Macaca fascicularis: one gene and its partner. The protein of the gene in region 2 interacts with the protein of the main gene of each other region in a biochemical or structural test. Links are inferred from orthologs where the notes say so. Each region holds a gene or a part of one and is shown on either strand. Other genes may lie near its edges.

The links. The genes of interacting proteins can lie anywhere in the genome.
Region 1: the proteins of IRF4 (region 2) and STAT6 form a complex in vitro, tested with the Homo sapiens proteins (2 studies listed by BioGRID). The link is inferred for Macaca fascicularis from reciprocal best matches to the Homo sapiens genes IRF4 and STAT6.

What each region holds. Positions count from the first base shown.
Region 1 is NC_088385.1:63,893,627-63,897,616, forward strand, and holds the end of STAT6 (signal transducer and activator of transcription 6), read right to left. Parts: intron 2,782-3,990; coding exon 2,716-2,781; intron 2,627-2,715; coding exon 2,498-2,626; intron 2,410-2,497; coding exon 2,220-2,409; 3' UTR 1,053-2,219; downstream 1-1,052. Other genes in the region: NAB2 (NGFI-A-binding protein 2), read left to right, coding at 258-367. UniProt on the Homo sapiens protein: Carries out a dual function: signal transduction and activation of transcription. Involved in IL4/interleukin-4- and IL3/interleukin-3-mediated signaling.
Region 2 is NC_088378.1:172,684,915-172,689,214, forward strand, and holds part of IRF4 (interferon regulatory factor 4), read right to left. Parts: intron 3,884-4,300; coding exon 3,776-3,883; intron 1,378-3,775; coding exon 1,024-1,377; intron 1-1,023. UniProt on the Homo sapiens protein: Transcriptional activator. Binds to the interferon-stimulated response element (ISRE) of the MHC class I promoter. Binds the immunoglobulin lambda light chain enhancer, together with PU.1.

The DNA.
Region 1 (3,990 bases), on a different chromosome or scaffold from region 2:
AAATTCCAGCACAACGGAGGAGGCGGGAGAGACAGAGAAAGAGAGAGACACAGAGACAGAGCTACACACAGCCAGAGAGGGGAGGGGGCTCACACACACAGGAATGGAACCCCCCATACACATGCAGTGGGCAGGAAGCAGTAATTCAACAAACGGAGCCCATCTTCACAACTTTCTTTGCCCCTGCTTCTGTTCCAACCACTTCTGTCTGCAGCCAGTCACCCTGCAGTCTCCTAACTGCCCCCTTTTCCCTGCAGAGTTCGAGGAAGGGCTGCTGGACAGATGTCCTGCCCCAGGACCCCATCCCGCACTGGTGGAGGGTCGCAGGAGCAGCGTGAAAGTGGAGGCTGAGGCCAGCCGGCAGTGAGGGGTGGACTGGTGTCTTCAGACCCAGGACCTCAGACTTCTGGCTCACACAGACCCCCATGCTCTCCATCCCCGGAATATAGTCACAACCCTGGATCCTTCCTCTGCCCTTCTCCTGCCTCCCCACCTGCTCCATGGGCATAAGACTGTGGGGCTTCAAGCAATAACAAGCAGGGGCCTGGAGAGAGGACACAAGGAGGGTGCGTGGTGCCCTCACCCCTGCCCAGAGCGAGGGGGCAAGGACTCTGCCTCCAAGGGCATCTGGGGTTCTCCCCTCCCTCACACGACACACTCCCATTCTCTTTAGGTTTGCACCTGTGGTGTGAGCAGTTGGACTCAGTTTGGACAAGGGGGAAAGGGGGACTTCCCTGGGAAGGTCCAGCAGCTAAAAGTGGCAACATTTGCCCCCAGAATTGGGGGCCTGGGAACACTGGACCTGCTCCTTCTTCCCTCTCCTTCCCCGTTTTTGTGCTTCTGGTTTGTTTCTTTAATTTAACAAGTGCTGCAGTTTGCCCTCCCATTCCCATCTATCCCCCAAGTCCTTTGCAATTTCCTCCCTCCTGCCCTACATGGGGGCGGTGGGTGTGGGATCCCTTCACTGGCCCCCTTGGGAGGCCTGGGTTGGACTCAGGGTCTCCTCCAGCTGGGGGCTGGACCGCAGCACCTATCTGAGCAGTTAGAGCGTCTTTCTTTTCAGATTGTGTACAGTAGATTATTTATTTTGTTATTTTGGAATAAAATTTATTTTATGGCTTAGGATCTATGACCCCTGCCTCGAGAGGGAGAAACGGTGACATGGGATGGGGGAGTGAAGGGAAGCTGGCAGTGGATAGGGCAACAGAGAAGATACAGCAGGCAGGGCCCCTTCATACACTGGAGGGCCACATGGTCAGGCCTGGACCCAGACACTCACCCTGGCTCCCAGGCAGCATTGGAGATATGGAGCCATATGTAGATGTCACAGCCACTTGGACCCACTTGGGCACAGTCAGACTCCAAATTCAGAGTATTTTTGGGTTAGCATATGTCAGAGAGGCCAGCACACTTGCTGCTGTCTTCTGTGCAATGTCTCACACTCCCAAATTTGTGTTGTCAAACAGGCAAAAGCAGACACATGTTCTATGTGGTCATGCAACTAACATGCCAGCTATACATTAACATATCTTAGGTACATACACGTTCACACAGCTATACATGAAGAAACTCGGCCCTTGTACTTTTGCATAGTCTCATACACATATCAGAAGCCTCCACCTCGCTAACAGGAATTTGGGGCTTTGGGAGATTTTTTAATCAGGGCAAAACTTGTATTGGTAACCACATGTCCAGACCCCTCCTGTGCTCCATCCAGGGTCCCTTGAGCTGCTTCCCATTCCCCCAGGGCTGAGACCTAATATCCTCTATCCCTGGCCTCTAGCGTAAATGTGTCTGTATGTTCCTGCCTAACCATCCTAGGCCCTGGGTCAGAGTGGGCGGAGAAGCCTTCCATGCCCTAACCTGTACTCCTACCCAGCCCACCTCCTGCTCAGCCCCATCACCCTCAGAGAGCTCTGTATGTGTGTGTGCGTGCGTGTGCGCGCTGCAGGTGCGGGCATGTTGGGGCGTGTCTCAGAGCCTGAACTTCCCTTCCAGTCAGTGCTGGAAGGAGGTGGGCAGGGGAATGATGAAAGGAAGGAGTGGATTGGCTCCACCCACCATGCATTCTCCTGTCTTTTCCTCCTGACCGAGAAGTAGGTGGGGATAGGAGGGCACCCTCCCCATCTGCTGCTTGGCAGGGCATGAGTAAGTGTCCAGAGCAGGTCTGTGGGGGTAGTAGAAGAGCTGTCTCTCTGGGTTCTCCCTCCCGGCTGGGATCACCAACTGGGGTTGGCCCTTAGGTCCATGTGGGACATTGAGATCCCAGATTGCCCATAGTGGGAGGGTTGCAGGAGGGGCTGGGCCCCCAAGGACCCTCCCCCCGATTCCCCTTGCCCCTCCAGGAGAAGCTTAGTGAGGTCCTGTTCAGTGGGCGGCAGCAGAGGAGGGAATATGTCTTCACCAATCCTACAAGGAGATGGGAGAAGCAGTGGAGTAGGCATGGCGCCCACTCCCCTAGATGCCACCCAGCCTCCACTACTAAGCTGCCACTCACCAAGTGCCCTGAGAAAACGCTCTCACTGGCTGGCTCAGGCAGCTGTCTTCCACCATGGTCACATCTGAGCAGAGCAGGGGGTCAGGGCTGGACACAGCATGCTCCTGAGGCTGGCATGGCAGCAGGCCCCTGCCAGGAACCAGCAACGGAAATAAGGAGGGAGGGGCAAGGCCAGGAAAGAAGAGGCACATGGGGTCAGGAGGGGCCTTGTCACTCACTGGGGGTGAGGCTGGTCAAAGGACAGGCTCATCTGGCCCAGGCTGGGGGGCATCTGCAGGTGAGGCCTAGAATTAGGGAGAGCACAGTTAGAGGAAGGCAGGCTAGGCAAAGGCAAAGTGGTGCAAAGTCAGGACCACTGAGTGAGGAAACAAGCTCCACCTCCTTATCCTGACTTAGTAGTGGCTTTGGGCAAGCTATTTCTATGCTCTGAGCTCAGTCTTCTCATCTGTAAAATGTGTGTGTTACGGGGGTGGATTAGCCAATTTCTAATGTTTCTTTGGACTCTGAACTTTGATAGTTCTTAAGTCCCCAAGTCCTCACTCCCGCCTCACCTTCTGGGAGGGGAGATGTTGTGCCTTGACTAAGAGTTAATAAGCACCTGGGTGTTATACTTGGGGAAGAAAAATGTCTAGGCCATCTCAAGGCCAAAACAGATGAGTAAACAAAAATCAACACAGCAGAGAAGTGACAGTGGCTCTCAGGGGCAGGACAGAAACAGTCATGCACCACACAACGACATTTCTGTCAGCTACAGACCACAGTGATCCCATATGATTATAATCAAGGCCAGGCAGAGTGACTCACACCTGTAATCCTAACACTTTGGGAGGCTGAGGTGGGAAGATCACTTGAGCCCAGGAGTTTGAGACCAGCTTGGGCAGTAAGTGAGACCTTGTCTGCAGAAAAACCTTAAAAAAGAATTAGCCGAGTATCCTGGTGCACAACAGCATGAGGATTGCTTGAGCCCAGGAGGTAGGGGTTGCAGGGAGCTAAGATTGCACCACTGCACTCCAGTGAGTGAGACCTTGTCTCAAAAAAAAAAAAAAATTATAATCAAGCTGAAAATTCGTATCACACAAATATTTACCATTATGTAACTATTTCCTTATACTGTTCAGAACGGTATCATGCTGCTCAGGTTTAAAGCTAGGATCAACAGGCTACACAATATAGCCTCAGTGTATAGTAGCCTATACCATCTAGGTTTGTGTAATTACACTCTATGATATTCGCATAACTATGAAACTGCCTAAGGACAGAAAATGCTCTTTCATTAAGTGATCCACGACTGGACTTACACAGCTTTTGCTATGAGCCAGGCACTATGCTCAGCTTTGTAAGTGTTATGAACTCATTTAATCTCCAAAATAATGCAGTGAGGTAGGTTATTATTATTAGCATTATTATCCCTTATTGGGCAGATAAGGCACCAAAGGCTAAGTAATTTGCCCCAAACCAGTAAGTGGTAGAGCTAGAATTCAAACCTAGGCAGT
Region 2 (4,300 bases):
ACCTGCCCGCCTCAGCCTCCCAAAAGTGCCGGGATTACAGGCGTGGGCCCCCGCACCCGGCCTGAAGCTTAGTTATCTAGGGACACATTTGCTTTGGGCACCAAAAGAAAATCTGGATGAGCTTACACAAATGTGGGCCACTTACGCCCAAAAGCAAGAGCACGTGTCCGCAGTGCCAGGGCAGAGGTGGGTCCTGTTTTTATTTTAAATAAGTGGAATGAAGAAGCACATTCAAGAAAAGGGGAGGCACAGGAAAAACCAAAGACACAGGAGTTTCTGAAGGGGCTCGAGAAGGAACAGGGCTGGGAAAAGGCGGAGGAAGAGTTGGCGGTGGGGTGGCAGGTAGAGCAACTCCCTCCCTCGTGGGAGGCTCCCTCCACCTGGACGGCCACACGAAGCCTGGGAGGAAGCCCAGCGGGACAGGGCCAGGGGCTTCACAGAAGCCAGCCAGAGCTTCACTGAATGGTCATGAAATCCAAGGGAGAGAAACAAAACTCACTGGTTCTGAAAACTATGCTTAGAAACGTTCGTATCACAGAGCCCACTCATAGCACTCTCCTGTAACTTCTCCCGTGCAGAACCAGTACAGTCCGCTCCACCCTCCGTCTCACTCGTGGGGCGGCATCTGCATGAGGGTGACCCCTCTCACAACCAAGAATGTTAACAATATGCTTCTAACCTTTATGATTTTTCTGGGAATCTGAAAAGAGCCGTCACATCAGCAGACGTGTTTGTTGAGATCACAGTGCAATAAAACAGAACTGTGTTAAGAGGTGACTGTTGAAAACCAGAATTGCAAGAGTACAGCCTGAGCCACCGTCCACCTGGACCATCTGATCCGCACTCTCTGCCCTCAACGGAGCCAGACAGAAGATCTCTACTGGGGCCGAGCCCCAAGCCCGGTGGGCGCCGGAGTCAACAGGAGGAAGACCTCAGCCTGGGGTGAGAGGGACCCTGTCGTTTCCGACCCCTGTGGCAGGCGGGCCATCACCACCTCCGTTCTAACAGAATGAAGTGCCTCACCTGACAAAAACTGCTGCGTGTCAAAGAGCTTGCAGGTCTGGTCTCTCTCCAGCTTGTTGGGCCTGTCGCTGCACAGCGCCAGGGGCCCGTCCCAGTAGATCCGGCTCTGGCAGAGTCTTTTCGCGTAGAGCCCGTCGGGGGCCATCCAGAGGACCACGCCCCTCTCTAGGTGGCCCAGCAGCTTCTCAATGTTCTTCCTCTGGCCATTGTCCTCTGGGTAGGGGAACAGGACCTGGTCCAGGTTGCTGGCGTCGTAAGTATGTCCATGGGAGATCCGGCAGCCCTCGGGGCTGGACGTGGTCAGCTCCTTCACGAGGATTTCCCGGTAGTACAGGCAGATGTGCAGCCGGCAGTCTGCAAACACAGAGCTCCGGGGTCAGTGCTGGGGGCCAAGGACACCAGCTTGAGGCCAGCGACTCCACAGAGCCAAGCACCTGCGGTGGAACTCTACTGTCCCACAGGCTCTGTGGAGGAACAAAAGGTTCTGGCGTGCAGGAGGCCTGGGAGACGCCACATGCCCTGCTTCCCCCCGAGATCAACACTTAGAGAAATCCCGTGGAAAAAACCCATTTAATTCGTCTAAACCAGCATATTTCAAACGTATGTGGCCACAGACTCTTTTTGGAAGGGACGAGTGTGTCTTTCATTAATTTTCTGGAAAAGTAAGTTGAATTCAGGTTATAGATCATCACCATTAAGAACTTACTAAGTCTTATTGTGAACGATGCTGATGATAGTGGTGATGACATTTAAGTCATGTGTCACTGAATGAAAATTCATCTTTAAGCAAATCAGTTTTTGCTTTGGTAAGAAATGAACCCTAAGTTTAATTTCTACTAGCAAAAAATATGACGGTGTTTCAGAAAGAAGCAAGTCTGTCCACAAACCTGAAAGGTCCTCAAAATAATAATATGACATCATTTAGGTAAAAGCAAGTGTGTGTGTGTGTGTGTGTGTGTGTATACATATATGTAAGTTATACATATAATTAGGTGCTTATTTATGTCTACATAGTTTATATATAAACATACACACACATATACACATTAAAGGGTAAGTACTAAGGCCTTAATGGTGATTTCTGGGTGGTGGAATGTGACGTTTTTATTTTCCATTCTTGTTTTTCTGATTTTTAAATTAGTTTTCCACACTGGATATGTGATGTTTTTATCACAAAATTAATTCTTGTGAAAAGAAAGAAATTAATGAGAAAAATGCTCTAAAAGTTCATGTAAAGTCTGCTGAAATTCCCACTGGGCTTTGTGTTTAAGTTTGAAAAGAACCCTAAAACTCTCTGAAACTTTAAACAAGATGAATCCATTTACAAACGTTTGGCTGATTTCAGAAACCTCTTTGAAACATCGCCCATGAGTTGAAAGAACCAAGCTAGGTTTGCATAAGCTCCTCAGCCAGGCTGCAGGGGAGCGGCACAGACAGGGGCAGTCGCCACTGGGAACTGTATGGGACCCCACAATCAGTGGGAATCACAGTTCTCTAACAAATGTGCTCATGGCTGATAATTAATCTGTATTATGCATACCAAAAAAAAAAAAAAAAGAAACCCACAAAACTGTCTTATTCCTCAATAGCAGGTTTTGAGACTTAACCCACATCACTGTCTCAATTCTCTGCTTCAACACATGGAGAACGAGTCAGACAGTGCGCCCCAAAGAGAGTGGGTGTTGGCCATTCGAGGTGATTCTCGGGGCAGGTTTCATTTCATTTAATGTCATCAGAAATCACGAGGTTGCAGAGATATAAATAGCTGTTTATTTCCTACTCTTCAGGCACCCACACAAGTCTTAGGTGTTCAAGAAAAGGGTTTGAAAGTTTCTAAAAACAAACACAAGCCTTCCTGCTCAGAAGCACCTCCTCCCAAAGGGCATCCTCGGTACTCACGAGCATCTCAGAAAAAAAGGTGCAAGCCTCATTCAGAACTAGAAAGAGCGGGCAGGTAAAACTCCAGCCCCCGTGTGCAGCCGTAGTGCCACAACTCTCGTCTCCCTGAAACCTTCAGAATTCAGTTAGTATTTTTCATCACTGATTTTTAAAGATGCCAAAGGGCATGATGAGAATTCCAAACCTTAAAAACAATCCAAAATATTATCTAAAAAATGAATAGACATATAGCACATATGCTTGGCAAGTCTAAGGGTGCCTTTTTTACAACAGGTAAGATCTCTATGATGCAGGACTTTTTTTTTTTTTTTTTTAAATAAAACTTAAAAATCAGGTTGAATCCATATTTGTTTGCAAGCGATATGAAAGACCAAAATGTGTATTACTTTTAGGCATATGTCATCGAGGGACCAGAACTAATGTCCCCAGGGAGCAGAGGAGGAGGACTCATTTATGGCTCAACCCGGAAGGACGATCAGCCTCTCCAAATGACGAGCCCTTCCACACTTCCGCACGGAGAATGCTGGCTGGAGAGGGGCCCTTGGTAAAGGAAACTGGAGTGTTTGCACATTCCTGGAAATTCGGAGAGGTGCCAGTGACGAAGCCAGAACGACTCCATTCAAGCCAGTGGCTGAAACTGTCAGCAGAACCACAAGCAGTGATGCTGGGTCTTTCCAATGGTGCTCCTAGTTCACTCTGGTCACCTCATGCACAGGATGTGTCCACATCTACTCCAGACCCCAGGGGGAGCAAAGCAAGTGTCTAAAGTCCCATTGAATCTGCCCAAAGATGACAGAGCTGGCGGCAGCAGCCGGCCTCCTGCGGTGCCTCCAGAACCAAACCCTGCACTCACCTGAGAGCGCCAAGGCTTCGGCAGACCTTATGCTTGGCTCTGTGGGGATTCCTGGAGCCTGGGACTCAGGTGGGGCACAAGCATAAAAGGTTCCTGTCACCTGGCAACCTGCATTTGCAAATAAAAGTCAGATGATGTCTAGACAGAGAGTCCGACGCACTGCAGGGCTTCCTGGGGTGTGTGTGTGAAGCCTGGGAAGGAAGGGGCTGGCGCCCAGTCACCTTCCCGCCCACTCCCAGCACCAGCGACTAGCAGGGCACACTCTTGTGAGGCAAAGACGAGCCGGAGACCAGCTGGAAAACCAAAGCTGAGGGAGAAACGAGCCAGTGCGTGGCTTTGAAAGGAATCTTGGAGCGCTCTCTCTGTAACTGACCCACAGGGAGGCTGAGGCTCAGAGACAGATGACGTGATTTGTCCTTGTTCACAAAGTGAGTTCACAACAGAGCTGAGAGTTCAGGTCCACTTGAGTTTGTGCCAAAGGGCGCAATTTAAAAAGTAACAAATTGTTTAGTCCATGTTTATTTT